Linked DNA regions of Callithrix jacchus. The protein of the gene in region 1 interacts with the protein of each later gene in a biochemical or structural test. Links are inferred from orthologs where the notes say so. Each region holds a gene or a part of one and is shown in the gene's direction. Other genes may lie near its edges. The genes, in order: KEAP1 and AMER1.

Evidence for each region.
Region 2: the proteins of KEAP1 (region 1) and AMER1 form a complex in vitro, tested with the Homo sapiens proteins (2 studies listed by BioGRID). The link is inferred for Callithrix jacchus from reciprocal best matches to the Homo sapiens genes KEAP1 and AMER1.

What each region holds. Positions count from the first base shown.
Region 1 is NC_133523.1:9,668,919-9,684,973, reverse strand, and holds the end of KEAP1 (kelch-like ECH-associated protein 1), read left to right. Parts: exon of another isoform or gene 1-266; intron 267-2,601; 5' UTR 2,602-2,648; coding exon 2,649-3,287; intron 3,288-6,342; coding exon 6,343-7,028; intron 7,029-8,807; coding exon 8,808-9,013; intron 9,014-9,294; coding exon 9,295-9,471; intron 9,472-11,323; coding exon 11,324-11,490; 3' UTR 11,491-12,003; downstream 12,004-16,055. UniProt on the Homo sapiens protein: Substrate-specific adapter of a BCR (BTB-CUL3-RBX1) E3 ubiquitin ligase complex that regulates the response to oxidative stress by targeting NFE2L2/NRF2 for ubiquitination.
Region 2 is NC_133524.1:61,515,341-61,531,495, reverse strand, and holds the start of AMER1 (APC membrane recruitment protein 1), read left to right. Parts: upstream 1-7,291; 5' UTR 7,292-7,393; intron 7,394-7,958; exon of another isoform or gene 7,959-8,256; intron 8,257-9,123; exon of another isoform or gene 9,124-9,245; intron 9,246-16,155. UniProt on the Homo sapiens protein: Regulator of the canonical Wnt signaling pathway.

The sequences.
Region 1 (16,055 bases):
ACCCCGCCGCCACGCCGAGCGCCGTGGTGGCCGCCCTGGGGCCGCGCAGCTCGGCGACATCAGGCGTGGGCGGGGGATGGGGAGCGGCCCCTCAGCGGTCCCTACCGCCCGAGGCCAGGGCCCGGGGACTTTTATTGTGACACGGCGGGCGCCGGGCTCTGCTTAGTCATGGTGACCTGCGCGCGTTCCGCGCCTCCCCCACGCGCAGCGATGGAGGCGCCCGGGCTCGGGCGGCGGAGGCGGAGCCGGAGCGCGGCCATGGCGGGGTGAGTGAGGCGGGCTGTGCCCGGGCTGCGGGCGTCCCGGGCCGTGAGCGCCCCTGCGGTCAAACCCGGGGACCTGGAAACTGGGCGCCACGGCCCGGGGCGCCTCTAAGTTCCCCGCCCGGACTCTGAGGGCCAGGAGGGCGCGGCCTGGGTCCGATCTTTTTGTTGGACGGCGGGAGTCTCGGGGTGGCCGAGCAAGAGAACCCAGGAGGCTCGGCGCAGACGGAGGCTCGGGGGCTCCGGGGCGTTGTTGGGGGGAGCTTGACCTGAGTTCTGGGGTTGGCAGCCGAGCGGCCGCGGCGGGGTCACTTCCTCGCTTCTCTGGGCCTGCTGGCGGCTCAGGAGGGGCATGCGCAGTCGCCCACTTGCCGCTTTGTAGGGTGGGGGAAGTGCCTGGTGCCCAAGGGGCAACGTTGACCGATTGGCCAAAGACCAAGAGGCAAGCCCAGGGCCTTGGCACCGGAGTGGGGCCTAGTGGCACCCAGGGAGTGTGGAGGAGGGCACTCTGGCAGGCCGGGTGGCACGGGCAGTTAGCCAGCCACCCGTTTACTGACCCCTTCGCAGTGCCAGGCCCCAGGCGTGAGGCACAAGAGAGGGTTGGCCCGATGCCGACCTACATAGGGCTCCGTGCCATTTGAGGCGCTGGAGTTGGGGACGAGAGACAGTCGATCAACAAACAAGCAAAGCAGGTCATTTCAGTTCCTGACAAGCTCAGTGATGGCAATTTAACAGGGAAGAGGAGACTGAATTGAGCCCCAGAAAGAGGGGAGTGAGAACTTGCAGATCCACTTGGGGGGGCCACTTGGAGATCCCCCACACCTTTCAAAACATAACTCATATCTGGGCACAGCAGCCTGTGCCTGTAATCCCAGCATTTTGGAAGGCCAAGGAGGGGGAATCACTTGAGGCCGGGAGTTCGAGACCAGCCTGGCCAACATGGTGAAACCCATCTCTACTAAAAATACAAAAAAATTAGCCCATCCTGGTGGTGGGTACCTATAATCCCAGCTACTCTGGAGGCCGAGGTATGAGAATAGTTTGAACCTGGGGTTGCAGTAAGCCAAGATCATGCCACTGCACTCCAGCCTGGGCAACAGAGCAAGACTCTGTCTTGAAAAACAAAACACAAAGCACGTAACTCATCTCCTGGTCCACCAGGCTCCAGGGGTTTGCATGAAACCCTTCCTTAAGTCCTTAGCTCTCTCTCACTGCACTCCTTCCTAATTCTCCAGATTGGCTGTCTCAGCCTCTGAGCCACTGCACTTGCTGTTCCCTCTGCCTGGAAGACTGCTCCCTGGCCTCCCACTTTATAATAATTTTCATCCTTGTCTCAGCTCCAACCTCACCTTCTCAAAGAGGCTTGCACTGCTTGATTTAAAAAAACTGTACCCAAGGCCAGGCCTGTAGTCCTAGCACTTTGGGAGGCCGAGGCAGGTGGATCACTTGAGGTCACGAGTTCGAGACCAGCCTCGCCAACATGGTGAAACCCTGTCTCTATTAAAAATACAACAATTAGCCAGGCATGGTGGCATACCCTTGTAATCCCAGCTACTTGGGAGGCTGAGGCAGGAGGATCGCTTCAATCCAGGAGGCAGAGATTACAGTGAACCGAGATCCTGCCATTGCACTCCAGCCTGGGTGACAGAGTGAGACTCTGTCTCAAAAAAAAAAAAAAAACCACAAAAAACAAACTGCACCCGATTCTCAGCCCGTTGTGGTGGCTAGCGCCTGTAATTGTAGCTACTCAGGAGACTGAGGCTTGAGAATAGCTTGACTAGCTTGTCACAATGCCATTGTAATTCTCTTTATGAAGCTAGATTTTGCCTAATTTATGATTGTTCCTCCCTGCAGTTGTTAGCTCCAGGAGGGTAGGATTTTTGTGTGTTTTGCTCACTGCTGTGTCTTCAGCACCCAGATCAGTGCCTGGCATACAGTAAACACCCAATAAATGGTGAGGCAAATGAAGGAATGAGCTTGGTATGCTCTAGAAAGGGAAAGACCACCAGATTACTGAAACAGAATGAGCAAAGGGAAGAGGTGGCAGGGGCCAATTGAATAGGGCTTTGCAGGCTGTTGAGGAGTTCTATTTTACTAGGTACTGTGGGAGATGTTGGAGGATCCAGAGCTGGGGAGAGACATAATCTCACCTGCGTTTTAAGATGAGCTCTTGGGCTGGTCCGGTCAGGGGGAAGTTTGCAAGTTTGCAAATAGACTCTGCTTCACCTACTTTGCAGGAAAACTGACCTAGAAATTGCTTTCTCTTACAAAAGGAGGCCAAGCAGGTGCTGGCCCAGCCCCAACCCCTGCCCCCTACCCTGTGCTGTCTCCCCTCCAGGCCCCTGAGTACCAGAGGTGGTGGTGTTGCTTATCTGCTGGAACCCCATGCAGCCAGAACCCAGGCCTAGCGGAGCTGGGGCCTGCAGCAGATTCCTGCCCCTGCGGTCAGAGTGCCCCGACGGGGGAGGGGACGCAGTGATGTACGCCTCCACGGAGTGCAAGGCGGAGGTGACGCCCTCCCAGCACGGCAACCGCACCTTCAGCTACACCCTGGAGGATCATACCAAGCAGGCCTTTGGCATCATGAATGAGCTGCGGCTCAGCCAGCAGCTGTGTGACGTCACCCTGCAGGTCAAGTACCAGGACACGCCAGCCGCTCAGTTCATGGCTCACAAGGTGGTGCTGGCCTCTTCTAGCCCTGTCTTCAAGGCCATGTTCACCAATGGGCTGCGGGAGCAGGGCATGGAGGTGGTGTCCATCGAGGGCATCCACCCCAAGGTCATGGAGCGCCTCATCGAATTCGCCTACACAGCCTCCATCTCCATGGGCGAGAAATGTGTCCTCCACGTCATGAACGGTGCTGTCATGTACCAGATCGACAGCGTTGTCCGTGCCTGTAGTGACTTCCTGGTGCAGCAGCTGGACCCCAGCAATGCCATCGGCATCGCCAACTTCGCTGAGCAGATTGGCTGTGTGGAGTTGCACCAGCGTGCCCGGGAGTACATCTACATGCATTTCGGGGAGGTGAGCGGGGGACGGGGCTGGCGGTAGTGTCAGGTGAAGGACCAGGGATGGAGGAGTGCTCATCACAGTCTCCCATCTTGAGATGTGAAAGGTCACTGTCTCCCATTGAGATATGAAGGCAGGAAACTGGAGAAAAAGGAGGTTCTGGGCTGGGCATGGTGGCTCACGTTTGCAGTCCCCACACTTTGGGAGGCCGAGGTGGGAGGATCGCTTGAGGCCAAGAGTTCAAGACCAGCTTGGGCAACATAATGAGACCCTGTCTGTAAACAAACAAACAAACAAGAAACAACAGGGGCTGGGCATGGTGGCTCACGTTTGCAGTCCCACTTTGGGAGGCCAAGGCAGGTAGATCACCTGAGGTCAGGAGTTCAAGACCAGCCTGGCCAACATGGTGAAAACCCATCTCTGCTGAAAATACAAAAATTAGTTGGGCATGGTGGTGCACCTGTAGTCCCAGCTGCTTGGGAGGCTGAGGCAGGAGAATCTCTTGAACCTGGGAGGCGGAGGTTGCAGTGAGCCGACATCGAGCCGCAACACTCCAGTCTGGGTGACAGAGCAAGACTCAGTCTCAAAAAAAAAAAATTTAAAAAACAACTGGAGTTCTGAGTTGTCTACACATGTAGGGAGACTTGTGAACAGCTGGGGGAGGTGAGGTCTTCTTGGGTCTCTGGGCTCCCTGGTTTCTTTGGGGTCAAAGGTGGGGACAGAATGCAGTGAAAAGCAGCCAAATCCTGGGGCAGCCCAGCCTTTTGGGCAGTCAGCAAATGTTTATCAGACACCCATAACAGGCTGCAAGTCTGAACCTTAGTCTTGTTTTTTTTGGTGCACGAAATTTCCTTACACTGTTTTTGGTTTCATTTTCATTTCTCAGTGAAGGAAATTATCTATAGAAATTGACAAGAAAGGGCCAGGTGCTGTGGCTCAGGTCTGTAATCCCAGCACTTTGGGAAGCTGAAGCAAGCGGATCACTTGAGGTCAGGAATTTGAGGCCACCCTGACCAACATGGTTATACCCCGTCTTGGCCAGGCACCGTGGCTCACACCTGTAATCTCAGCACTTTGGGAGGCCGAGGCAGGTGGATCACCTGAGGTCAGGAGTTTGAGACCAGCCTGACCAATGTGGTGAAACCCCATCTCTTACCAAAAATACAAAAAAAGGAAAATTAGCCAGGCATGCTGGCATTTGACTGTAGTCCCTGCTACTTGGGAAGTTGAGACAGGAGAATCCTTTGAACCTGGGAGGTGGACATTGCAGTGAGCCAAGATCGCACCATTGCACCCAAGCCTGGGTGACAGCGAGATTCCGTCTCAAAAAAATAAAAATAAAAATAAACTCAGAAAAAATAAGTAACATATTCTTTTTATTTTATTTTATTTTATTTTTTAAAGATGGGGTTTCACCATGATGGCCAGGCTGGTCTTGAACTCCTGACCTCAGGTGATCTGCCCACCTTGGCCTCCCAAAGTGCTTGGATTACAGGCTGGATTACCGCATCCAGCCCTATAAGTAACACATTCTTAAAGTTCAAAAACCAAGTCAGTTATGGTGATGCACACCTGTAATCCCAGCTACTCAGGAGGCTGAGGTAGGAGAATCATTTGAGCTTAAGAGTTCGAGACCAGCCCGGGCAACAAAGTGAGATCCCACATCAAAAAACGACAAGGCTGGGTGCGGTGGCTCCTGTCTGTAATCTCAGCAATTTGGGAGGTCAAGGCAGGTGGATCACTTGAGGTCAGGAGTTCAAGACCAGCCTGGCCAACATGGTGAAACCCCATCTCTACCATAAAAATACAAAAATTAGCTGGGTGTGGTAGCACACACCTGTAGTCCCAGTGACTCGGAAGGCTGAGGTGAGAAGATCGTTTGAGCCCAGAAATTTGAGGCTGCAGTGAGCTATAATCGTGCCACTGCACTCCAACCTGAGCAACAAAGCAAAACCCTGTCTTAAAAGCAAAAACAGGTCGGGTGTGGTAGCTCACACACCTGTAACCCCAGCACTGTGGGAGGCTGAGATGGGCAGATCATGTAAGATCAAGAGTTTGAGACAAGCTTGGCCAACATGGAGAAACCTCATCTGTACTAACAATACAAAAATTCCAGCCTGACCAACATAGTGAAACCCCCTCTCTACTAAAAATAAATACAAGGCTGGGTGCAATGGCTCAGGCCTGTAATCCCAGCACTTTGGGAGGCCAAGGCGGGAGGATCACCTGAAATTAGGAGCTTGAAACCAGCCTGGCCAACATGGAGAAACCCCATATCTATTAAAAATACAAAAAAATTAGCCAGGCATGATGGCAGGTGCCTGTAATCCCAGCTACTGGGGAGGCTGAGGCAGGAGAATCACTTGAACCTGGGAGGCAGAGTTTGCAGTGAGCCGAGATTGCGCCACTGGACTTCAGTCTGGGTGACAGAGTGAGACTCTGTCTCAAAATAAATAAATACAAAAAAATTATCTGAGTGTGGTGGCACACTCCTGTAATCCTAGCTACTTGGGAGACTGAGGCAGGAGAATTGCTTGAACCCGGGAGGCAAAGGTTGCAGTGAACCAAGATTTCACCACTGCACTCCAGCTTGGGCAACAGAGCGAGACTCTGTATCAAAAAAAAAGGAAAAGAAAAAGAAAGAAATAAAATTAGCTGGGCATATTGGTGGGCGCCTGTAATCTCAGCTACTCAGGTGGGTGAGGTGGGAGAATAACTTGAACCTGGGAAGCGGAGGTTGCAGTGAGCCGAGATAGTGCCACTGCACTGCAGCCTGGGTGACTGAGACTCCATCTCAAAAAACAAACAAAACCAAAAAACAAATGATACTGCAGGGTATACCATCTATTGAGTCTTTGCCCATTTCCCTGAGTCCTGATGACATGCCTGGCATGTAGCATTAACTCATTTAATGGTTACAATGTATGCGGTTCCTATCATTCAGATCCCCATTTAGCAGATGAGGAAGCTGAGACTCTCAGCGGCACTGGTGAGCTTCTTGTCCTGGGTCCTGCTTGGTGAGGGGTGGGGGCGATTTGGGAGTCAGCCTTCCCACTGTCGCCCTCTGCAGGTGGCCAAGCAAGAGGAGTTCTTCAACCTGTCCCACTGCCAACTGGTGACCCTGATCAGCAGGGACGACCTGAACGTGCGCTGCGAGTCCGAGGTCTTCCACGCCTGCATCAACTGGGTCAAGTACGACTGCGAGCAGCGGCGCTTCTATGTCCAGGCGCTGCTGCGGGCCGTGCGCTGCCACTCGCTGACGCCGAACTTCCTGCAGATGCAGCTGCAGAAGTGTGAGATCCTGCAGTCGGACTCCCGCTGCAAGGACTACCTGGTCAAGATCTTCGAGGAGCTCACCCTGCACAAGCCCACGCAGATGATGCCCTGCCGGGCGCCCAAGGTGGGCCGCCTGATCTACACCGCGGGCGGCTACTTCCGACAGTCGCTCAGCTACCTGGAGGCTTACAACCCTAGTGACAACACCTGGCTCCGGTTGGCGGACCTGCAGGTGCCACGGAGTGGCCTGGCCGGCTGCGTGGTGGGCGGGCTGTTGTACGCCGTGGGCGGCCGGAACAACTCCCCCGACGGCAACACCGACTCCAGCGCCCTGGACTGCTACAACCCCATGACCAATCAGTGGTCGCCCTGTGCTCCCATGAGTGTGCCCCGCAATCGCATCGGGGTGGGGGTCATCGATGGGCACATCTATGCCGTCGGTGGCTCCCACGGCTGCATCCACCACAACAGTGTGGAGAGGTGAGTGGTATGGCCGGGAGTGGGCTCTGAGGCTCCCACTCCTGGCAGGTCCCAAGATGCTGAGACTTGGGGATTCTTCCTGAGGCTGAGTGCCTGTCTCCTCTTTTTGTCTGCAGGGAGTGGAGGCCTCAGGATGAAGCTAAGTTCCTGAGAGAGTTCTAGTCAGTGACCTCGGATTCTGTGCCTGGGGCTGGGAAATGCTTAGGGGACTGACTGTCACAAACCCATATGGTTTCCTTTGTGTAGATCTGGAAAAAGTTCCATCAGTTTGAAATAGTTGAGCCAGGCATCGTGGCTCATACCTGTAATCCAGGACTTTGGGAGGCTGAGGTGGGAGGATTGCTTGAGCCCAGGAGACTAGCCTGGGCAATATAGTGAGACCTTGTCTCTACCAAAAAAAAAAAAAATTTATTTTTAAGACAGTGTCTTGCTTTGCTACCTAGGCTGGAGTGCACTGGTGCCATCTTGGGTCACTGCAGCCTCCGCCTTCCAGGTTCAAGTGACTCTCCTGCCTCAGCGCCCCCGAGTAGCTGGGACTACAGATACCTGCCACCATGCCTGGCTAATTTTTGTATTTTTTGTAGAGATGGGGTTTTGCCATGTTGGCCAGGCTGGTCTTGGACTCCTTTCCTCAAGGGATTCTCCCACCTCGGCCTCCCAAAGTGCTGGGATTACAGCTGTGAGCCACTAGGCCGGACCTAAAGGACTCTGTGAGCATCAACGAGTGAAGCTGAATATGCCATTTCTCCTTTCTGAGATGTTATTTTATCATCTGTGAAGTGTGGGGTCTGGCTGAGCCCTTAGGGGCCCATCAGATATGGTTTTGAACTTGAGCAGTTGATGGCCTGGAGGCTCAGTTTCTTCACCTGGAAAATGGAGCTACGGATATCAGTCCTTGGAGAATGGCTGCAAACATTGGTGTTTGAGGGTAGGTGGGCGCAGTGGCGTGCACCTGTAGTCCCAGCTACTTAGGAGGCTGAGCCAGGAGGATTTCTGGAGCCCAAGAGTTTGAAGCTGCAGGCCAAGTGTGGTGGCTCATGTCTGTAATCCCAGCACTTTGGGAGGCTGAGGCAGGTGGATCACTTGAGGTTAGGAGTTTGAGACCAGCCTGGCCAACATGGAAAAACCCCATTTCTACTAAAAATACAAAAATCAGGCCAGGTGCAGTGTCTCACACTTGTAATCCCAGCACTTTGGGAGGCCAAGGCAGGTGGATCATGAGGTCAGGAGATCAAGTCCCGCCTGGCTAACACAGTGAAAGCCCATCTCTACTAAAAATATAAAATTAGCCGGGCATTGCGGTGGACACCTCTAATCCCAGCTACTTGGAGGCTGAGGCAGAAGAATTACCTGAACCCGGGAGGTGGAGGTTGCAGTGAGCCAAGATCATGCCACTGCACTCTGGCACCTGGGTGATAGAGCTAGTCTCCGTCTCAAAAAAAAAAAATTAGCCGGGCAGGTGGTGGGTGCCTGTAATCCCAGCTACTCTGGAGGCTGAGGCTGGAGAATCACTTGAACCCAGGAGGTGGAGGTCACAGTGAGCAGAGATCGTGCTGTTGCACTCCAGCCTGGGTGACGAGCAAAAACTCCATCTCAAAAAAAAAAAAGAAGGGTCTGAAGTTTCATTAAGCTGTGATGGTGCCACTGCTCTCCAGCCTGGACAACAGAACAAGACCTTGTCTATTTAAGGGAAGCAAAAAAGAACGAACAGGGCCCTTAAGTATTCCACAAAGGTCAGCTATAATGGCCATTGTCACCATTGTTCTCACGCCCTTGCAGGTATGAGCCAGAGCGAGATGAGTGGCACTTGGTGGCCCCAATGCTGACACGAAGGATCGGGGTGGGCGTGGCCGTCCTGAATCGTCTGCTATATGCCGTCGGGGGATTTGATGGGACGAACCGCCTTAATTCAGCTGAGTGCTATTATCTAGAGCGGAACGAGTGGCGAATGATCACACCCATGAACACCATCCGGAGCGGGGCAGGTACTTGAGGACGGCAGGGAGGGGAGCGTCCAGGACCACCACCCCCTCATCATCCTAGGGTGAAACTGAACCAGGCCTGGGAGAGACCCCCCTGTTGTCACCCTCACCCTGGGTACCCACAGAAGCACTGGATTCTGATGGAGTCCAAGCTTCTCTCTCTCCCACTTCATTTCTGAGGGTGAGAAGGTAGAGGAGAGAGGAAAAGTCTCCCTCAAGGAGGTGATGGCTGGGGTTCCTGAAGCCAGACCCCAGAATCACCTTCTGTGCACGGTGTCCTTTAGGTGTCTGCGTCCTGCACAACTGTATCTATGCTGCCGGGGGCTATGATGGTCAGGATCAGCTGAACAGCGTGGAGCGGTATGACGTGGAAACAGAGACGTGGACGTTCGTGGCCCCCATGAAGCACCGGCGAAGTGCCCTGGGGATCACTGTGCACCAGGGGAGAATCTACGTCCTTGGTGAGGCCCTGGGGGTGGGGAAGAGTCCTGACTAGTCTCATCTGTTGTGGACAGGTGGCTGCTTTTGCTTTTCTTTTCTTTTTTTTTTTAGAAACAGTGTCTCATGGCTGGGCACGGTAGCTCACGCCTGTAATCCCAGCACTTTGGGAGTCTGAAGCGGGTAGATCACCTGAGGTCAGGAGTTTGAGACGAGCATGGCCAACGTGGTAAAACCCTGTCTCTACTAAAAATACAAAAATTAGCCAGGCATAGTGGAGCACGCTTGTAATCTCAGCTACTCAGGAGGCTGAGGCACGAGAATTGCTTGAACCCGGGAGGCAGAGGTTGCAGTAAGCTGAAATTGCACCTTGCACTCCAGCCTGGGCAACAAGAGCAAAACTCCATCTAAAAAAGAAAAGCAAAGCCGGGCGCAGTGGCTCACACCTGTAATCCCAGCATTTTGGGAGGCCAAGGCGGGCAGATCACAAGATCAAAAGATCAAGACCATCCTGGTCAACATGGTGAAACCCCGTCTCTTAAAAAAAAAAAAAAAAAAAAAAAGTGAAAAGAAAAGAAACAGGGTCTTGCTCTGTTGCCCAGGCTGGAGTGCAGTAGTGTGATCACAGCTCACTGCAGCCTTAACCACCTGGGCTCCAGCCATCCTCCTGTCTCAGCCTCCCAAGGATCGGGGACCATAGGCATGCACCCACCACACCTGGCTAATCTTATTTCTTTTTATTTTGTTTTGTTGAGGAGTTTCACTCTTGTTACCGAGGCTGGAGTGCAATAGTGCGATCTCAGCTCACTGCAACCTCCGCCTCCCAGGTTCAAGCAATTCTCCTGTCTCAGCCTCCCAAGTAGCTGGGACTACAGGTGCACATCACCATACCTGGCTAATTTTGTATTTTTAGTAGAGATGGGGTTTCTCCATGTTGGCCAAGCTAGTCTCAAACTCCTGACCTCAAGTGATCCACCTGCTTCGGCCTCCCAAACTGTTAGGATTACAGGCGTGAGCCACTCTGTCCAGCTTTTGTTTTATGTTTTAAAATTTTTATCTATTTACTACTTTTGAGAGAAAGTCTTACTCTGTTGCCCACACTGGAGTGCAGTGGCACAACACTGGCTCATTGCAGTCTCCTCCTCCCTGGTTTAAACATTCTATCTCCACCTCCCAAGTAGCTGGGATTATAGGCATGCGACACCAAGCCCAGCTAATTTTTGTACATTTTGTGCATACAGGGTTTCACTATGTTGTCCAGGATAGTATTGAACTCAGGTGATCTGCCCGCCTCAGCCTCCAAAGTGCTGGGATTGCAATCATGAGCCACCATGAGCGGCCTATTTTTATTGATTTATTTTGAGACACGGTCTTACTCTGTTTCCCAGGCTAGAGTACAGTGGTGCAATCTCTGCTCACTGCAACCTCGGCCTCCCAGGCTCAACTGTTCCTCCCCACCTCAGCCTCCCTAGTAGCTGGGACTACAGGCGAGCACCACCATGCCTGGCTAAATTTTTGTCTTTTTTTGTAGAGACAGGGCTTCACCATGTTGCCCAGGCTGGTCTCAAACTCCTGGACTCAAGTGATCCACCTGCCTCAGCCTCCCAAAGTGCTGGGATTACAGGCCTGAGCTACCATGCCTGGCCTTTTTTTTTTTTGTAAGAGACTAGGGTTTTGCTATGTCGCCCTGGCTGGCCTCGAACTCCTGGCCTCAAACAATCCTCCCGCCTAAGCCCTGCAAAGTGCTGGGATTATAGGTGTGAGCCACCATGCCCGGCCTGCTTTTGTATCTTGCAGCTGCTTCTCCCTCTTTCTGTCCCCTGCTTTTGGATGTGGCATGACAGGTGGTAACCGTCCCTTCTGTTCTCCCTGTAGGAGGCTATGACGGTCACACATTCCTGGACAGTGTGGAGTGTTATGACCCAGACACAGACACCTGGAGTGAGGTGACCCGAATGACATCAGGCCGGAGTGGGGTGGGCGTGGCTGTCACCATGGAGCCCTGTCGGAAGCAGATCGACCAGCAGAACTGTACCTGTTGAGGCACTTTTGTTTCTTGGACGAAAACACAGTCCAATGGGGAATATTGTTGTTTTTGTATAAAAACCGGGACTGAAAGAAAAGACGGCACTGCAAATAACCCATCCTCTGGGAAGGGAGGCCGGGATGCCTCAGTGTTAAAATGACATCTCAAAAGAAGTCCAAAGCAGGAACCATGTGCCCTCAGCAGAGCCCCAGGAGTGTCCAAGACAGCCTGGCTGGGAACAGGGGTGTGAGAAGAGCAGGTTTCCAGGAGAGAGGCCCCCAAACCCTCTGCCCAGCAGTAGGCCTGGGTCCGACCCACTCCAGCAGCCGTCACCTTATGATTTGTTCTTGGATACCTGGGAGGGTGCCAAGGGGGCCTCACGGGGAGGCCCCCTCTGGAAATACGGTTCCTAGGGATGGAACTGTACATACAAGCCACCAAATGGCACTTCCCTGGACAGTTATTTTGTTGATAAGTAACCCTGTAATTTTCCAAGGAAAATAAAGAACAGACTAACTAGTGTCTTTCACCCTGGCTCTCGGCTGAAGGTCTGAAACCCGGAGACAGAAAGGGCTCTTCTCCTGAAATACACTTCTCTTTGACTTAGGGCTGGTCATTGAAACCAGTTTGGAATCTTTACCCGTCGCATTTTGATATGTAGGGCATCTTTCTCCCCATCAGCAAGCCACACAGTTGTCTTTAAGTTTCAGCTGCCTTGGAAGACAAAGGAGCTAATTCCTTGTGACATCTCCACATCTCCTAGGGCTCCCCAAGGTCAATTTCTTTTTTTTGAGACAGTTTCATGCTTGTTGCCCAGGCTGGAGTGCAATGGCTCGATCTTGGCTCACCGCAACCTCCACCTCCTGGGTTCAAGCAATTCTCCTGCCTCAGCCTCCCAAGTAGCTGGGATTACAGGCACCCAACACCATGCCCAGCTAATTTTGTATTTTTAGTAGAGACAGTGTTTCTCCATGTTGGTCAGGCTGGTCTTGAACTCCTGACCTCAGGTAATCTGCCCACCTCAGCCTCCCAAAGTGTTGGGATTACAGGCATGAGCCACCACGCTTGGCCATTTTCGTTTTTTTTTTTTTTAAAGACAGGGTTTCACCATATTGGTCAGGCTGGTCTTGAACTCCTGACCTCAGGTGATCCGCCCGCCTCAGCCTCCCAAAGTGCTGGGATTATAGGCATGAGCCACCGCACCCGGCTCATTTTCGTATTTTTAGTAGAGACGAAAATGGTTCTGCCGTGTTGGCCACGCTGGTCTCAAACTCCTGACCTCAGGTGATCTGCCCCACTCAGCCCACAAAGAGCTGCGCCTGGCCGAGACCTTGTTTTTTTAAAAAAAAAAAAAAGTTTAGTCAATTCAATTAAGCAATTTTGGTATCAGCTGTTTCTTTTTTCTTTTTTTTTGAGACAATCTCATCCGTCACTCAGGCTGCAGTGTAGTGGGGTGGTCACGGCTCACTGCAGCCTCAACTTACTGCAATGAGGAAATCCTCCCAGCTCAGCCTCTTCAATAGCTGGGACCACCATGCCCTGCTAATTTATTTTTTGTAATTTATTTTTGCCATGTTGCCCGGCCTACACCCACTTTCCAACTCCACAAAAACCAACTTCTTTTGAGTCCCTATTCTGGGCTTTGGGGAGATGGTGGTGAACGAACCTGCAGTGATGCCTGACCTCGGGCTGGGTGACCCATTTATCCAAGTTTGAGCATAGAAAGGCTGGCAGCCCCCAAGCCACATAAACCAGGGCTGTTGGCCACACCACAGGTAAGCCAGATGCTGCAGCTGAGGGACTACATGTATTGAGGGACCAGCAGGCAGGGTTCTGGTGAAGTCACATTTTGATTGCTTGATTTTGAGACCAAGTCCCCCTCTGACATTCCGGCTGGAGTGCAGTAGCTGGATCTCAGCTCACTGCAACCTCTGCCTCCCAGGTTCAAGCAATTCTTGTGCCTCAGCCTCCCAGGTAGCTGGGACTCCAGGCGTCTGCCACCGTGCCTGGCTAATTGTAAAATAGCAAATCTTACTCTCTCACCATTCCAGCCCCACTCTAATCTTACGACAAACAAACAGAAAAACTTTGCAGCAATGTTCTGTTCCTTTACACAAATGGATGATGCTGCCTGCATTCTGCAACTTGCCTTTTTTCCTTCAGATCTTCTAGACCATCTGTGGCGTCACATTCCTGTAACCAGCTGCCTGGTGTTCTGTCTCTTCCATTAGGGACAGATGGTTAAGTTGTTTCTGTTTTCTCAGAATTACACGCAAAGGCTTCAACGCCCTCTTGTAGTTGTGTCTCTGTAGGCACAACTGTGTGTTTTCTCAAGGTGGATGCTATGAGGTGGAATTGATTAGATCATCAAAGAGGCAAAGCCCTAGCAGATGCTGCCAGATTCTCCCCCAAAGCACTTGACACATTACATTCCTGCTGTTTTCCTGGGAGTGCTTCATAAATTCATTTATTTAATTATTAATTTCTTTCTTTTTTTTTTTTTTTGAGATGGAGTTGCTCTGTTGCCCAGGCTGGAGTGCAGTGGTGCAATCTCCGCTCACTGCAACCTCTGCCTCCTGGGTTCAAGCGATTCTCCTGCCCCAACCTTCCCAGTAGCTGGGATTACAGGCTACCATTCCTGGCTAATTTTTGTTTTTTGTTATTTTTTTGTTATTTATTTTTTATTTTTAAGACACAGGATTTCACCATGTTGGTCAGGCTGGTCTCGAACTCCTGACCTCAAGTGATCCACCCACCTTGGCCTCCCAAAGTGCTGGTATTACAGGAGTGAGCCACCACACCTGGACCAGCCTGTGAATTTTAAATTATACAGCTAAGGTGCTCCGGTGTTAAATGTTATCGTGATCATTCTAACTTCAACAATCTTGACAATTCTGCCTTATTTCAGCATTTCAGGTTTCCAGTACTTACCTCATTCCTAAGTAAATATTACATTACCAGCACTTCGGGAGGCTGAGTCAGGGGATCCCTTGAGCCCAGGAGTTCAAGACCAGCCTGGGAAATAAAGCAAAAGATCGTGTCACTGCACTCCAACCTGGGTGAAAGAGTAAGACTCTCTCAAAAATAAAAATAAATAAAAATGACAGGCTGTCCAGGTACAGTGGTTCATGCCAATAATCCCAGCACTTTGGGAGGCTGAGGCAGGAGGGTCACTCGAGCCCGGGAGTTTGAGGCTACATTGAGCTATGATTGCACTACAGTACTCTAGCCTGGGTGACATAGTGATATACCAACTCTCTAAAATAAAATAAGGCCAGATGCAGTGGCTCACACCTGTAATCCCAGCACTTTGGGAGGCTGAGGTGGGCGGATCACGAGGTCAGTAATTCAAGACCGGACTGGCAAACATGGCAAAACCGTGTCTCTACTAAAAATAAAAAAATTAGGCAGGTGCAGTGGCACAAGCCTGCAGTCCCAGCTACCCTGGAGGCTAAGGCAGGAGAATCACTTGAACCTGGGAGGCAGAGGTTGCACTGAGCCAAGATTGCACCACTGTACTCCAGCCTGGGTGACAGAGCAAGACTAAAATGAATACATAGGCTGGGCTCGGTGGCTCACACCTGTAATCCTGGCACTTTGGGAGGCCGAAGCAGGTGGATCACTTGAGGTCAGAAATTTGAGACCAGTCTGGCCTACATGGCAAAGCGCTGTCTTTACTAAAAACACAAAAAGTAGCCAGGTGAGGTGGTGTGTGCCCGTAATCCCAGCTACTCAGAATGTATAGCTCTGTGATGAATATCCTCAGGGCTGATTCAGGAAGTTCCATCTAAAAGGCAGATAGCACCCTCTTGTGGGCCTCTGGGTGAAAGAGGAACTTTTTTTTTTTTTTTTGGAGACTGAGTTTTGCTCTTGTTACCCAGGCTGGAGTGCAATGGCGCCATCTCGGCTGACGGCAACCTCCGCCTCCTGGGTTCAGGCAATTCTGCCTCAGCCTCCTGAGTAGCTGGGATTACAGGCACGCACCAGCATGCCCAGCTAATTTTTTGTATTTTTAGTAGAGACGGGGTTTCACCATATTGACCAGGATGGTCTTGATCTCTTGACCTCGTGATCCACCCACCTTGGTCTCCCAAAGTGCTGGGATTACAGGCGTGAGCCACTGAGCCTGGCCTAACAGGAACTTAGGAAAGTCAGAAACGGAACAAGATTGAGTTCCTGGCTTGTTCCTATTTTTAAAAGTAGCATTCTTAAGGCCAGGAACGATGCTCATGCCTATGATCCCAGCACTTTGGGAAGCCATGGCAGGCAGATCACTTGAGGTCAGGAGTTCGAGATCAGCCTGGCCAACATGGTGAAACCCTGTCTCCACTAAAAATACAAGTATTAGCCGGGCATGGTGGCAGGTGCCTGTAATCCCAACTACCCAGGAAGCTGAGGTAGTAGAATCGCTTGAACCCAGGAGGCAGAGGTTGCCGTGAGCTGAGAGCCTGCCATTTTACTCCACCCTGGGCAACAAAAGTAGCATTCGTCAAAACTTCAGAACAAATGATATTTATTTCTTTTCTTTTTTTGAGATGGAGTTTTGCTCTTGTTACCCAGGCTGGAGTGCAATGGTACGAT
Region 2 (16,155 bases), on another chromosome or scaffold:
GTACTGCTCCTCCTATAGCCAGGACTCACGGGTTCAGTAATCAATGGGTGGAAGTAGCACCACTCACCATCACCCCTAGTGACCCACTAGCAAAAGTTTTGCTTCCTGTTCATTACTTTCTGCTGGCCTAGAGGTCTTAGTTTCAGAGGGAGAAATACTGCCACAAGGAGACACAGTAATGATTCCATTATACTGGAAGTTAAGATTGCCACCCAGAGACTTTGGGCTCCTCCTACCTCTAAGTCAACAGGCTAACAAGGAAGTTCCAATGTTGGCTGAGGTGATTGACCCAGACTGTCAAGTTAAAATCAGTCTACTACTCCACAATGGAGGTAAGCAAGGAGGTCCCTTACAGTGTCTCATAGTATTACTGTACCCTGTGATTAAAGTCAATGAGAAACTACAACAACCCAATCCAGGCAGGACTACAGATAGCCCAGATCCTTCAGAAATGAAGGTTTGGGTCAATCCACCAGGTAAAAAACCATGACCTGCTGAGGTGCTTGCTCAAGGGAAGGAATGCAAAATGGGTATTAGAAGATTATAGTCATCAATAACAGTTGCAGAGCAGTTGCAGAAATGAGGGCTGTAATTGTCATGAGTATTTCCTCCTTATTTTGTTAAGAACATGTCTATGTATGTATACACTTGCACTGAGAAAATATCTTCATTTTATTTCCCTCTTTTTTCCTTTATCATGTGACATAAGATTTATTGACTTCCTATCAGCATTTAAATGTTGTTATCTTTATGCAATAGCATTTAGGCTGAGGATTAGTCACCTTCTGGTTGTATATTATGTTAGGCATAATTTTGACCTTACTATTGTCTTTATTTAAAGATTACATATGATTTCAGGAGATGTGTATGGGTTCAAGTTGACAAGGGGTGGACTTATCATGGTTAATATTGAGTGTCTGCTTGATTGGATTGAAGGATGCCAAGTATTTTTCCTGGGTGTGTCTATGAGGGTGTTGCCAAAGGAGATTAACGTTTCAGTCAGTGGACTGGGAGAGGCAGACCCACTCTCAACCTGGGTGAGCACAATCTAACCAGCTGCCAGCTCAGCTGGAATAAAGCAGGCAGAAGAACATGGAAGGCATAGACTGTCTGAGTCTTTCAGCCTTCATCATTCTCTTGTGCTGGATGCTTTCTGCCCTAGAACATCACGTTCCAAGTTCTTCAGCTTTCAGACTCTTGGACTTACACCAGTGGTTTGTTAGGTGCTCTCAGGCCTTCACCACTGACTGAAGACTGCAATGTCAGCCTCCCCACCTTTGCAGTGTTCCAATTTGGACTGGCTTCCTTGCTCCTCAGCTTGCACACAGCCTATTCTGGGACTTCACCTTGTGATCATGTGAGTCAATTCTCCTTAATAAACTCCCTTTTATATATACATCTATTCTATTAATCCTGTTCCTCTAGAGAACACTGGCTAATACACAGGAGAAACAGGTTTTGAGATCAATTGCACAGGACAGTGACTGAAGGCAGTAAGAATGCATTATTTATTTCAAAGTAACGAAGACAGTTAATTTCAAATGTCTCACCATAAAAAAAATGACAGGTAAACAAGGTGATGGATATGTTAATTAGCTTGATTTAATCATGCCACATTGTATACATATATAAAAATATCATATATCCCGTAAGTGTATACAATTATGATTTGTCAATCAAAAATAAAAATAACTCTCAAGAGTTTATTTCCATCAAGTACTTATATGTGCCAGGCAGTGTCCTCAGTAATCACTTCACATGGATTAACTCATTTAATTCAATGCTTCGTTTTACTCATGCCCATTTTATAGATGAGGAAATTGAGGTGCAGTGAAGTTAAGTAGGTGAAGTTGCTCTAGGCCACACAGCTAGGAAGCAGGATGTCACAGAACTGCAGAATGAGGTGGCTATACATTATTGGTTGACAGCCTAGTTGGGCCTTTACCAACTAGCCCATTGTCCACAGTGGCTATTTCAAATCTTGTCCAAATTAACAGTCTTCCTTGAACCTCCCTCCAGTATTGCTTTTCCTCTCACTGCCAACTAAGAATTTTGCCTCCTTCTTCCCAGAGCAGGTAAGGGTGATAAGGAGTGGCATCTTCAATCTTCCATAACAACAGACTCCACTGAATCCACCCATTTTTCCCTCTTGTCTTGATCCCTACTGCAGCAAAAGCTAACTCATCTGTAAGGGCTCTGGATTCCATCCTCCACTCTCACCTGTAGCCCCCACCCATCAATTATCTTGTTACCTATATCTTCTACTTGATTGATTTCTTTTCCCCTCAGCACATAAACAAACTCACCTCCTTCCATCTTGTAAAAACAAACCCGAACTCCAGAGCCCCCTCTATCTATTACATATTTGCGGTCAAATTTCTAGAACAAGGAAGCTGCATACATTTTCCCTTTTCTCATAGACCATTCTCCTGACACCCCAGCACAGTGTGGTGTATATCTACAGCTCTGTCCTGAACTAGCCTTGCCCATATCACCAGTGACTTGCCAGATTCACATCCAATGGCATCTTTTCTGCCTGTATCTTGCTGGATTTCTGGGCAGCATCTGACACATATGCTCTTGGTAACTCTGTCTTTTATAAAATCCCAGTACCTTACTTGGCTTCCAGGAGAGCCATTTCTCTTTGCTCTGGTTTCACATTGCCAATCCCTCCTCAGGGCTTTGTGGGCTTGTATTCTTCAGTCTCCTCTTTCTCTCACACCATTCATCTAAGGTGTCAACACCAAGTCCAGCCAGTTCTGTCTTCCAAATACATCCAGCGTCCAATCAGTTTCCACCACCTCCACTGCCTCTAACCTGATATGGATCCTGATCAGAGCCTCCTTCCTGACATCTCTGCTTCTTTCCTTGCTGCTATAGCTCCCCAGATGTTTTACTAAAGTCATGTGACTCCTCAGCTCAAAATCCTGCAAAGTCTAAAGTCGTTAAAATGATTCACAAAACTGTACATTGTCTGTTTCCCTGCGTCCTCTCTGACCTCCTCGTCTACAACTTTCCTCCACACTCACTGTGTTCCAGGTACACTGGCTTGCCTAGATGCTCCTCTAACATTTCAGCATGTCACCACGTCAGAGACTTTGTATTTACCTGGAACGCTCTTTCTCTAGACATCCTCATGGTTTGCTCTCTCAGTTGCTCTAGATCTTTGCTAAAATATCACCTTCTCCAACTTCCTTGTTTAAAAGAGCACCCCTCAGTACTCCCTGTACCCATTCCCTGGTCTATTTTTCTTTATCATATTATTTTTTTAAGAGACAAGGTCAGTGTTCCCCGGACTGCAGTGCAGTGGCCATTCACAGGCACAATCCCATTACTGATCAACATGGAAGTTTTTACATGCTCCATTTCTGATCTTAGCCAATTCATACCTCCTTAGGCAGCCTGATGGTCCCCCTCTCCTGGGAGGTCACCATACTAATGCTGAACTTAATGCAGACACCCTATCAGCATAGTGCACTACAGCCCAGAACTCCTGGACTTAAGCTATCCTCCTGCTTCAGCCTCCTGAGTAGCTGGGACTACAGGCACATGCCACTACACTAGGATTGCCATCACATTTATTGTCATCTGAAGTATTGTATATTTTATGTATGTATTTGTTCATTGTCTATCCCTCACAGAGTTTCCATTTTCATAATGAGAAACAGACAATTTAAACATGACACGAAAATAAATAAATAACAATAAGACATATACCAAGAGGTGGTAAATGCTATGGATAAGAAAAAAACAAAGCCCAATTAAAGAATTGGAGAGTGAAGGGGGTGGAAATGGGGATTGCTATTTTATAAATCAACTGTCCAGTGAATGTGTCACTATTAATGACATTTGAGCAGCTACCTGAAGGAACTGAGGTGCAAACTATGGCAATATTCAGAGGACAAACATTGTAGGCAGAGGGAACAGCCTGCACAAAGACCCTAAGTGGGATTTCTGACAAAATTCTGTATGTCCTAACCAAAATCGTTACATTTTCCGAATTCTGTTCCTATATTCATCAGTTCAGTGGATGACAACACCATCCAGCAGTCCCTTGCCCAAGTAAAAAACTCATGAGTTTTTTTCCTCCTCCACTAGACTGACTGCCCTTGAGGCCAGAAGCTGTGTGTAGTCCATCATTCTGGGTAATGAGTGTGTCACTTAACACAGGGCATGGCATAAAGGAGGTGCTCAATGAGTGGTAACATCACACTTCACTGGTGAATGCTGGCACTTAAGCTTGATATTAGGCCTGAAAATGCCTCATTTGACTATGTTCAGTAAACACATGCTCATCACCAAGTTTGTGCCAAGCTCTCTGTTGGGTGCTGAGGATATAAAGTTGAACAACAGATTCTTCCCTGGGAAACTGAGTCTGGGTTTGCACGATCAAAATGAATCTGTGCATAAGAAATCATAGCCTCGTGTGTGTTTACATTAAAAACTGGCTTCAAAGTCAAATTAGCATTTCCATAATTCTGAAGATCTGTACATTGGATCAGAAGGAGACCAATAATAATAACAGTATCAGTAGCTAACATTTATTGAGACCAGCATATGGACTAGTCTCTGTGCCACTTTACATGGACTATTCAAATCTTACACAATTCTGTGATATTGGTGCTATTATTCTCATTTTGCAGAAAAAAAAATGTTGAGACTCAGACAGGTGAATTAGCCAGCCAAGATCATATTGCTTCTAACTGGTGAGCCTGGCATCCCAGCCCAGGCAGTCTGGTGGCAGAGCCACTACAACGTACCACATCCCTGGGAAGGATGAACTTAGCTAGTTGAGCCTCAATTTATCCAGGCAGTCACAGTCTCTTACACTTTGGCCCCAGGCCTTTCTTTCTGGTATAATGTCCAGCTCTTCCTCTCCCCACTACACAAATACTTAGCCACAGCCATCCAGAATCATAGCTCTTGCCCAACCCACCATACCCTCTCACCGATGGGCTTTGGCTTGGGCAGAAACCTTTCCCCTACTTTTCTCATTTGATCCAACCATCAAAGCTATCGTCCATGGAACATTTCTCTGATTCCCCTTGCCACCCTGGGGAGAAGGAGTCTTTTCATCTGCAATGCTCCAGAACACCTTTGCCAGACCTCTAGTCTAGCTTTCAGTTCCTCTCAGAACCCCATTCCCAGGTGCCTCAAAATGGTTATCACTGTACTGCTTCCCCCAGTACCTATCAACAGGCCAGGCATAGAGGAAATGACTATGGAAAACTTGGTGAAGAAAGAAACGGGCATTGTAATGATGTGGCCTAGTCTGTCTACTTGAGTTTATGGAGTTGCCTCCACAAAGCCCAGACATCTGTTCTTACCAGCTTTTCACCGCAGCCACAAGACACTAGGCAGCACGAGGATTATCTCCATTTTTCAGGCAAACAAACTGAAGAAAGTATTCCTGCTACCCACCACCAGTGCCTATCTTGACCAAACAAGTTGATCACGTGTCAGTTAGCATGTGGAATAGGGCCTTAGAGTACTCTCTGTGCAGGGAGGCATTTTGAGGTGCAAGTTTATGCACACACTTGATTTATCCATACATCGTCCCTGGAGAGAAATGGGCCATACAAACAAGAAGCTGTGTTGTCCCCTCCCACATCCTTTTCCCCTTAACACACACACAATATCCTCCCAAGACTCAGTAATATCAGGACCACAAAGAAAGGTGCTCAGCTGGGAGATCTCTAGCATCACAGAATATTTTTGCTTACCTGAAGCCCCATTTCTTTAGGACTTAGCTCAATTTCTCATGAGTTGTTTCTCCCACACTAGTCACTCCAAAAATGGGCTGGTGTCACAGAATGTTTGGTGGCTGGGCAGAAGGTATAGAAGACTAGCCCCTGTGACAGGAGCAGCACAATAGTGCCTGGAACTACTTCGAGCCTGCCACCTGACTACTTCGCACACCTCCTCTTGCCCTGCTTCCACAACTGAGACTGCTCTGGCCTTTTGTTTCCCTGAATCCCAAGTTTATAAACTGCTTCTCCGAATCATAATCTTGGTCTGATTCAGTGAATCAAAGTTCTGAGTAAAATGTGAACAAGTTGCAGTGACCAGAGGCATGAGGTAGGAAGGAGATATAATGAAGGTTCTGGAAAAGAAAAGACACTTCAAAATCAGGCCCACAAATGAGAATCAGGACTTTGCGAAGCAGGAAAGCATAGCCCCAGGGAAACCTTTATAGTCCAGCCATCCTGATGGGAAAAAGTTGCATAATGAGCCAGCAGCAGCTCCTTACTCCTCACCATTTATTTAGACTGGGTACTAGGATGGGACTCTAATGTTCAGTATTGAGTTTTGCTGGCAATGTATTTAATGTCATGAAAGGTGATGGAACATATATGTTTTCCATAATATTCCATGGAAAGTCATGGAATATTATAGAAAGAAAATGAGTTGAACTGTCAGATCTCAAAGATATCAAGGGGGCCTGATGATGCTTACCCTCTCCTCATGGTGATGGGGTGATGGACTGGCCCAGAGAGGAAAATGAATTGGCCAAGGTGTCTAGCAAGTCTAAGGTAGAGGTGGAGTCAGATCCCTAGCAGCTATGTCAGTTCTTGTGCTCCACCCATGCAGAGGCAGCAGTCCCCCTCTTACCAGTTCAGCAGCTGGATCTTTTCAAGACTGCCAGGACTCAGAAGCAGCAGAGAACACTCCTGCAATGCAAAAATAGCACACATTGTTCTCTAATCCTTCTCCCTATCATTAACTTTAATCCCCCCACCTCCCTTTTTAGACACACAGAGTTTTAGGGCTGGGCCTTCTGGATATTCTTGAACTAGTGGTAGAACTAGATTCTTTGTTGCCTCAGCTCACCTGGCCCTGGCAGCCACTAATGCCACTTAATGTCCTTAAGCTAGAGACCCAAGTTCGGCTGGCTCCCTGCCACATCCTACACACAGTAGCAGACAAGGCCAGTACAGGCCTCCTCACTTTGTCCTCAGGCTGACCTCCGGTTTGGACCCAGACAAGATTTTCCTCTTAATATTTAGACTTTTCAGGGAAAAAGGCCTGCACAAAGCCAGGCTCACAAAGGATTGGGGGAAAGGGGACTCTGGAGACCTTGGAGATTCCCTCCACATTCCATAGAAGGTGGGAAATTTGGGTGAGGGTTAAACTATGAAAACAGGTATCATCTCAGAGAAGAAAAGTGAAAGCAATCCTGGAAGGGGAGCCCGGGGCTCTGGATTCCAAATTGGCCCGTGTCGCCGGCAGGCTGGGTAACTGTGGGGAGGGGCTTTCCCTACTCTGGGCAGCAGAGTCGGGGCAACACGTCAGTAACGGGTGGAAGTTGGCCTTTACGGTCTCTAAGGGCCCTGGTGTGCCAGAGAGGAGGACGAAGTTGGGGCGCAGGCGCTGCAGCTGACTTTCCTGGCAGGTGAGTCCCTCCTCCGGGTGGCCTGGGGCACGATTCGCAGGGCCTTGTCTCTACGACTAAGGATGGGCAGGCCGAGGTGCTAAGAGGTTCTGCAAAGTCCCTCAACCTCTCTGCCTCGTTACTCCCCGCTGGCCTCTAGCTGAGGAATGAATTGCCTGGTGGCGGCCAGGGCACAGTAGAGCGAATGCACAGCGGCCACGGAAATAGGAGTGCGTGAAAACCGAAACCGAGCTCCAGGGATCCGGTGAACCCCATCCGGGCAGGAGCGGCTCCTTGAGGCCACGGTGCAGCCACGCCACTACCCGCCCGGCGTGGGGGCAGGAGAGGGGAGCCCCAGCCAGGGGTTCCGCACCCTCTCCGCCCCCTGCCAACACCACGCCCGTACTTATTTGCATTTAAAGAGAAACGCACCAAGGAAAACAGTGGGCGGGCCGGGCACGCCTTCTCACCATAGTGATTGGGTCATGCCCCTGCCAATCAGGACGCAGATGCCCCACCCAGTGGCCATGGAGTACGGGGGGGAGGGGGTATGGGGGAGCTACCCAAAGCCTGGGGAAGGGGAGTCAGTGCAGGAGGTGACTGGAGCCGCGGCGGTAGGGGCAGCAGCTGCGGTGGCGGCGCTCTCAGCCGCGGCAGCCTAGGCTGCAGCCCGGCCAAGGGCGGCGCAGCGGACAATAACCGCGCTGGGAACCTGACCGGGCCGGGTAAGCGTTGCGCACAGCCAGGAGCCTCCGCCTGCCAGCGGTCGGGTGCATTCCCGCGTGCTCTGCTCCTACGGACTGGAGGAGTGCACTGAGGACTGGGCGGGTCGGAGTCCCGGTCTCTCGCCCCTCTCCTTTGGAACCCGCTTTGCGGACTGTCGGGTAAGAGGCCGAGCGGCCTGAGTCCCCTGGGCACAAGTGACCACCGCTGGGGGGAGGGGGGAGGGGAGGGCGGATAGGCAGGCAGGCTAGCCTGGGCCATCCCTCCCGGCTCTCCCGAGAGGCGGAGATGGGCCCGCACGTGCTGCCGCATAGTCCCGGGAAGGGCGCCTCCAGCCAGCACCCCAAGTCGTGCATTTGTAGGCCGGGAGCTCCGCAGCTTTGTTGTAGCACATTTGCTGGAACAGCTGTGTTACACGGGTACTGCTCACCCCGGCTGCCTGGCTGCCGCCCCTCTCCTCCCCTGTGCATCTCCAGCCTGTCCCTCCTTTCTGCGGACTCAAGCTGGCGTTCTGGCTTGGGCCCGACAGAGACCGGCTTTGGCGTAGATTAAGACATCCACAGACTGCCCCCTCCCCTGAGGAGTTCAGTCGGGCCTGTGGGCTGAGCTCAGTTGCACACTTCCCTTCAGAACCTTGGCCTTGCGGCCCCAACTAGCCGCGCCCCTCCTCCTGGGCCTCCAGGCGCATCTGGCGCCCGCCCCCGCGGTCGGGCAGGCTGGCTGGCAGCCGGGCTCTTGCTGGTCCTTGGGTTAGAGCAGCGGCCCAAGCTAGTCCTTGAGTTAGAGCTGCAAGGCCGCTTTGTCTCCCCCCTCGCCTCACCTCCTTTTCCCTTGGAAGATACTGGCCGCTTTTTTCTCTGCAGCCTCTGGTTTAAAAATAGCGATGGACACGGTGTTTGGGGGGGCACTGGCTTGCCAGAAGCCGAAAGGTCCGTCATTGTAGTACGAAACGCATCATACCATCTCCGTGTGTACAAGAGATCTAGCGAGGTGGCCAAACCCTCCAACTTCGCAGTTACTTAACATACCCAGCCCGCCAGGCCGCTGTCATTGTCTGCTGGAGGCACTTCTGACACTGGTGATCGCCCGAACGCTGGACTTTGCTTGCGCTCCCCCAGTGGTGAGGGGCTGGGCCGGCCGCATGCGTCACAGCCCAAGCACCTAGGCGGCAGCTGAACTGGCCCCGCAGAGCTGGTCTCTGTTTGGCCACGTTCCCCTTGGCATGGGACGTGGGGTCAAGGCAAGCCTTGTTCCGCACACAGACACCTCCCTCTGCGGCTCTGCTTGCCTGCTGCAGCGGCATGGGCAAGGTGGAGGGCAGGGCACTGCACTGTTGGACTGCCTGCCCCACTGGGTTTCAAGCAGAGCCCCCTTCCCCAGTGCAGCTCCCCTCATTCAGCCCCACGCACTGTACAGTTACTGCACCACGGTGTACCTCTGGCAGTGAGCTCTTAGCCCTTTCTGAGGAATAGGACAGAGGAAGCAACTGAGGGGCTTGGTAGGCTCTTCTTGGACCTTTGATTAACCTCTGGTTTGGAGAGCCCTTTGGGCTGCAGGGCCCAGGCAAGCTTTGGTGTCTTTGAGGAGGGGCAATGAGACCCAGTAAATCCCTCACTTGGGGGAAGGCTAGATATGGACTTTTATGACAGGAGCCAGGACCACAGATATTACACTACAGTCACCCCCTCCCACCTTGATTAGGCCCCAACACAAACCTCTACTTGCAGCTGGGCATCTCCATCCCAGGGCTGGACCTGCCCTCTGCCTTGTCTCAGGCCAACAGGCACCTAATGTATGTGCTCTATGTAACTCCCTTGCACACGCTCAAACCCACTCAGCCTACACCTGTCCAAATCTTACTTCTCAGACCCCAGTTCTGGGCCTACCTTTTCCTTGGTGCCTTTTCTGCCTGGGTCTTGCCCACCCATGTTGACTTCTTTCTTCTCGGAACTCCTCCAGGGCTGCTTACTTCTCCTGGGCATATTCAGGCCTAAATTATAATAGGAGGCAGACTATAATTAAGTTGGCCTGTCTCTGTTTTGTGTCTCTGATATCATGGATGTCTGGGTTCTCTCATAACCCTTTGGAGGAGTAAATAAAACCTGGACCTCAGCCACAAGCCTCTCAAAGCCAAGTGTAATGATTGTTCCAGAAGGACTTGCTTTCTTTGTAGTTTTCGAGAAGACCTTTGCCTTTCCAACTTGTGCTTATCCTGATTCATATGAAAGTGACTAGAAAAATGGTACTCAAAGCTGAGATATGTATTGACTGTGCCTAATAAGGACAGATTAGAAGGGGGATGATTGCAATTACAAGAAAAAAATTAGGATATATCCTCCCCCAACAACAGGCTCAGGATTTGGAATGCTCAGACCCCAGACTATGCATATCTTTGGTTGCTGATTCATGAGCCTAGAGGCAAACTACAGGGAGAGAGAGATGAAAGATCTGTACAAGCAGGGGGATCATCCTTGGAAGCTGCCAGAGAGTAGAGGTGTTTGGTAGGCAAAGGGTAAGCAGACCTAGGAATGGGAGGGGAGAGAGTGGTTGACAGGCAGGGTGAGGGGGGTAACTGAGTCTATTCTGGTTTAGATGGTGTGGCTCAGAGGTAGAGAAGAGGTTGAGGCTCAGTGGTGGGGTTTCCCAGATGCCGGGCTGTAGAAAGGGAATCTGATCCTTTTAGGGGAAGGGGGCATCAAAGAGTAGGGACTTGGCAGGGAGTTGGTATTTTTTTATATATATATGCTATAATACAAACTTTTCAAATGAGATTTAGAATGGGGTCTTAGAAAGGGATCAGAAGCTTGCTGCAAAGTCAGGCAGGTAAGAAGCCACCTTTGAATCTGGAAATAGAGCTGTGGGCAGGCTACCTCCAAAGGAAAGTTTTAGTATGTCAGCCTCCTTTTGGAAATGCAGGGGAAAAGGCAGGAAGAAGTAGGAAGCTGGGCATAAATACCAACGTGGTTGGGGCTGAGACGTGTCCCCCAGGCCTCTGCTGATGGGGGCTTTTGTTGGTCCTCGGGTTAGCACCAGGTTGAACTCCTGTGCTTACAGATGGGAATCCTGAGCCTTGGAAAGAAACAGGGGCTTGCTTAAGGTCACACAGCTATTTAGGGATAGACTGCTGCTTCCTGTACAGCAGCCCTTTCTACTGTGTTCAGTGGAAAGGGCCGCTGTACAGGAATCAATGCAGATCTCATTAACCATCACCCTCATCTTACCTCCCTCATTCCCTAAGAGGAAAGGGGGACTGAGTTAACTTGGGAGCTTCATAAGAGGAACCTCTCTGTCGTTTCCTATCTCTTTTGCCTCTTGGTCTTGGTCTGCAGCTTTGCTTGGACTAAATATTTCAGAAGGAGAGGAAGTAGTTAAAAGAATCTGGCAGTCTAATGACCCCCTCCTAGTATAGTGGAGGTGTTAAAAATTCTTCAAGCATGGTGGTTCACATATGCAATTCCAGCATTTTGGGAGGCCTAGCCAGGTGGATCACTTGACCCCAGGAGTTCGAGACCAGCCTGGGCAACATGGTGAAACCTCATCTCTATGAAAAATACAAAAAAATTAGCCTGGGGTGGTGGTGGTGGTGTGCATCTGTGGTCCCAGCTACTCGGAAGGCTGAGGTAGAAGGATCTCTTGGGCCTGAGACATCAAGGCTGCAGTGAGCCATGTTCATGCCACTGCACTCCAGCCTAGGCAGCAGAGAAAGACCCTGTCTCAAAAAACAAAATTTCTCAAGAACTGTTACATCTCCACTCTTGGATAGTATGTGTGGGAGAAACAGCCCTGCTCCACTAGGAAACAGAAGCAAGCCTGGCAGGTAGAACTAAGAAGGAGAAGGGGTTTCCAGCCCCCATTGCTTAACAGATAGGGTATCTGAGGCTAGAAGAGATAATTTCCAATGTTATTTCAGTTTCCCTGCCTGAATCCTGTCTGGGCAGATGCAGTGGGTGATAAAGGGTTAAGACCCCATGGCAATATTTCATAGCCTTTCTGTGTCACTCACTTCTGGGTCACCTGCCTCATTGTCCAGTTCATTCTCAGGGCTATTCTGAGCCTTTCATGCTGTAGTTAAACCTTGCATGTGTGTTTGTGTGTATGTGTATGTGTTGGGGGAAGGAGCTGAGAGCAGCTGGCCACCATTGCTCGTCTGCTTAACAATCCAATAGAGATTTCATAGACACTAAATTCTCTCTTCACCTCCAACTTCTGTTCTCTGAATTAAATAATCTCAGAGTCTTCCATCTCCGCTGCTTTGTCTTATTTTTCAAACCTGTGCATGTGTAAGTGTATTTCTAGCAAAGGCAGGCAGGGAAACCAGAACCACTACAGAGGTACAGGTACCAGCCTATTAAGACTACTTTGCTCTCTCCACCCTTTTGGAATTCGGGGAAAATATGAACAGTGGAGAAAATGGCTTGAGGGGCATGGTGTGGTCATAGGCAGGCACACTGCTGCTGCAGGGGCCTTTGCGACCCTTTGATCTGCATTTTTTTTTCATCATAGAGCTTTCATTGCTTTCATCTCCTACTGTTTTTTTCCCCTGCTGGGCTTCCAAGCAGATACGGATACTAACCTTCCATCCTCAGTCAGCATGCCTTAACCCTTCCTCTCCATCTGTTTGGCCCTTCTGGCCTGGGGCTGTGGCTCTTTTCAGGAGAGCACGGAATGGCATGACCAATTCTGGGCCCCCTCCTTTCTGGATATATTGGAAATATTCACAGGCCAGGCCCAGTGCATTCTGAAAGAGCAAAATGTTGAGAGGTGGTGCAAGGAGTGAGGCTGGGCTACAGTGCACCGCTGTCCTGAAGTGGTGAACTAGGTCCAGCCAGCTAGATAACAGATCTACCAGTAAGACCTAGGACCCCCACAGCCAATCCGGTGTTCCTTGCTATGCCTCCTGACTCAGCAGCCAGTAGAAAACTGGGCACAGGATCACTCCTCTCCCAGCCTTTCAGGGCAACCTGGAGCAAGCAGACTCCCTGGTCCAGTTTCCCATTTTTAGATGAAGAAACTGAGGTCCAAAACAGGGAAAGAATTTGCTCAAGTTTACACAGAAGTCCAAAGCTCCTGGTCCCCGATTCAAATCGAGTTCTTCCTCAAATCACATTCTTCTAGTCCCCTCCCAAGCCTCAGTTTCCTCACTTGGCCTTTCCCACAGGGCATGGTTTGTAGAGGGGAGTGGACACATAGGAATGTCAGAGGCCTCCATTGTTCACTTGGCCCAGCTGCTCCTCTGTAGGGTTTCCTCAGCTGCTCTGTCACATCTGTTTCCCTGGAGTTAGCTCCTCTCCTGTTCTTCATTTGAAGAGGGGGTGGGGAAGAGTTGGTGCATGTCTGATCTCACTCTCTAGCTGGTCTAGTACTGACTTCGTGGAAGCCTATGCAGGCAGGCACCTCTCTCCAAGAAAGTTTGGGAGCCTGGGATGGGAATGGTAAGTAAGAGCCCCTATCATTCAAGGGAAGCTGGGCAGGGAGGGGACCTCAAGAGCTTGAGGAGAAACCTGGGGCACTAAGAAGCCTCGCCAGGAAATCCCATTTCTAGGGAGAGGTGGTATGTGGATGACCACATCTCCCAGACTGGGCAAGCCCCTGTGTATTTGGAGCTGGGGCCAAGAGGTAGAGAAACGAAGCTGACAAACTTGCCAGGGGCACTCAGGGAGAGCAAGCCATCAATATCAGACACAGAGGTTTGGCCCTTATCCTGCAGGCAATGCAGAATAATTTGATAAATGGAGGAGTGATGTGTTGAAATAGGGGTTGTAAGAAAATGACTCTGGCAACAGTGTACAGGATGGATAAGATCGAAGAGGGGAGCCAGGGAGTCTGCAGTAGGAAGGGACTAGAGGGGGCTCAGTTAAGAGGCTTGTGTCACCTTTGGAGAATGTGGGGTGGCAGTTGAGGTGATGGAGAGAAAGGTGGCCTCATTATGAGAGCCCTTTATTGAATATCCACTTAGTGTCTAGTTATCAGTTTGCTTTTACACTGATCATCTCTAATTCTTACCACAATCTTGCATGATAAATAGCATTTTCTTCATTTTACAGATAAAGCATTTGAGTTTCAGAGAGGTTAGGCCACTTTCTCAAACCACACAGCCAATAGAAGGTGAGGCTGACATTCCAGTTCTGGGCCAAGAAACCAGCTGAGTTAGATTTCAGTTGAATCAGTGTTGTTTGAGCTCCTGCTATGTGCTAGAGGTAGTGACTGTAAGATGAAGGAGGGTCCATTTGAGAGAGATGAATGAATTACATGAAGCTCAGTATGTGAACAAGTCAGTTGAGGGGGCTGGTGGGGGAATAGGGGCAGAGGAGAGAAGTCCCAGTTTGGGGTCTTGCTGTATCTGGAGTTGGTGAGATGTCCCTGGGCAGGAGGTACCCCTCAGCAGGAAGGCTGGAAATTAGAGGAGGAGTAGTTGCAGGTGTAGCTGAGGGGGCTCTGCCAGCTGCCTCTGCAGCTCCATCAGAGGGTACCAAGCCAAGCAAGCCTTCCTTCAGGCCCTGAGCAAATAGTACTTGGCTATGGGTTTTAGAAATAGATCATTCAAGTTCCAGATCATCTGATAAGTCATTCTCTTCAAATAGCTCAGATTCTTCATCTTCATCCATGTTGGCAGGTTTCTGGTTTTTGGGCCACTCAAACCTATCTCTTAAGGAAAAGGGGAGTAGAGTGACATGTCCTGTAGTTTGAGAGGAGTGATGGTGGGGTTGCTGGTGAGGAGAGCAACCACAGGCTGGGTTGTTGGCCCCTATATTCTGATGTCAGCAGGCTTTCTGGAATGTGCTTCATAGGGCCTGAACGGTGGCAACCAGTGTGGACTGGAAATGCTGCAAAGAAGGCTTAGCTAGACTGGAACAGAGGTGGGATGGGAGTGGGAGATTATAGTTCCTACTGATATGAGGGGAACCTTTGCAGTTCTGTCGCTCAGTCTTCCTCCTTTGATTGGTGGCCTGCACAATATAGCAGAGTGGCATGAAACTGAGACTCAACAGTTCTAGGAGCTAGTGTGGCTTTGTCACCATTACACTATGTGACCTTGGACAAGTCTTCTCCCAAGTCTCTGCACAGTTTCCTTCTCTGTGACAAGGAGTTGCCATCCCCCACCAGGCCTGATTAATGGGTGGCTGAGGAGGCAAATGGGGGGTGTGGGAGTGGGGAGTGCTTTGTAAAGCGATAAATACCCTGAGGGTATTGTCGATTTGCATTTCTTTTGATGTTGGTACTTTTAGCTGAGTTTGACCTGGGCTACAGAACCTGGCTAGTTGAAAGTCCCAGATAATCCTTCGCTGCTAGCCAGTTGCTGACTCTTTTAGGTCCCTGAATTTCAAAAGTTGGCTGAATGAGCAAGTAAAGCCTCCTAAGACATCACCACACAGTTATCCTCATTTACTATTTGCCATTTGGGGAAAATGAGCCCCAAGGAGGTTTGGTGACTTACCCACAGAGCCCTAGGGAGCACCCTACTCAACTCTGACTGAGATGATTTTTCTTCTAAGAATCGTCCTACCATAGTTTGAATAAAATATGAATGAAAGTTAGTTACTATAATGTTTTGAGCTTCTGCTATGTAATGCACTTGATTTGGTACATTATGTGCATTGGTTTTACTTTTTACAATAATAGCCTTAAGAGGTAGGCACTCTCAATAGCCTCATTTAACAGTTAAGGAAGCTGAGGCATAAACATGTGAAAAAACTTGCTGGATTTTCTCTGGCTGGGCAGAGTTGATTCCAGCTCAGAACTGGACAGCTCTTTGGAGGGCCATCCTCACCATTTTTTCCATAACCAACCCTCCCCAGCATACAGAAAGGCAGGTGGACCTGAAGTGGGCTTGCCTCCAGGAAGATTGCTTAGAACAGTCCTGAGGAACTATAGCTGGTCGAGGCCATGCCTCTGGAACTACTGCATAAATCCACATGCTTCTCTTTCTTCCCCCAATTCAGCCCTATCTAAGTTGGCCAAGCTGGCCCCAGGAAGCGGATTTGGAGTAAGGGTCATGTTGCAGCTGTCCCTTCTCCTTGAGAAGGTTCTCTAGGGCAGGTATGTGGTTGGCCTCCTGCCTA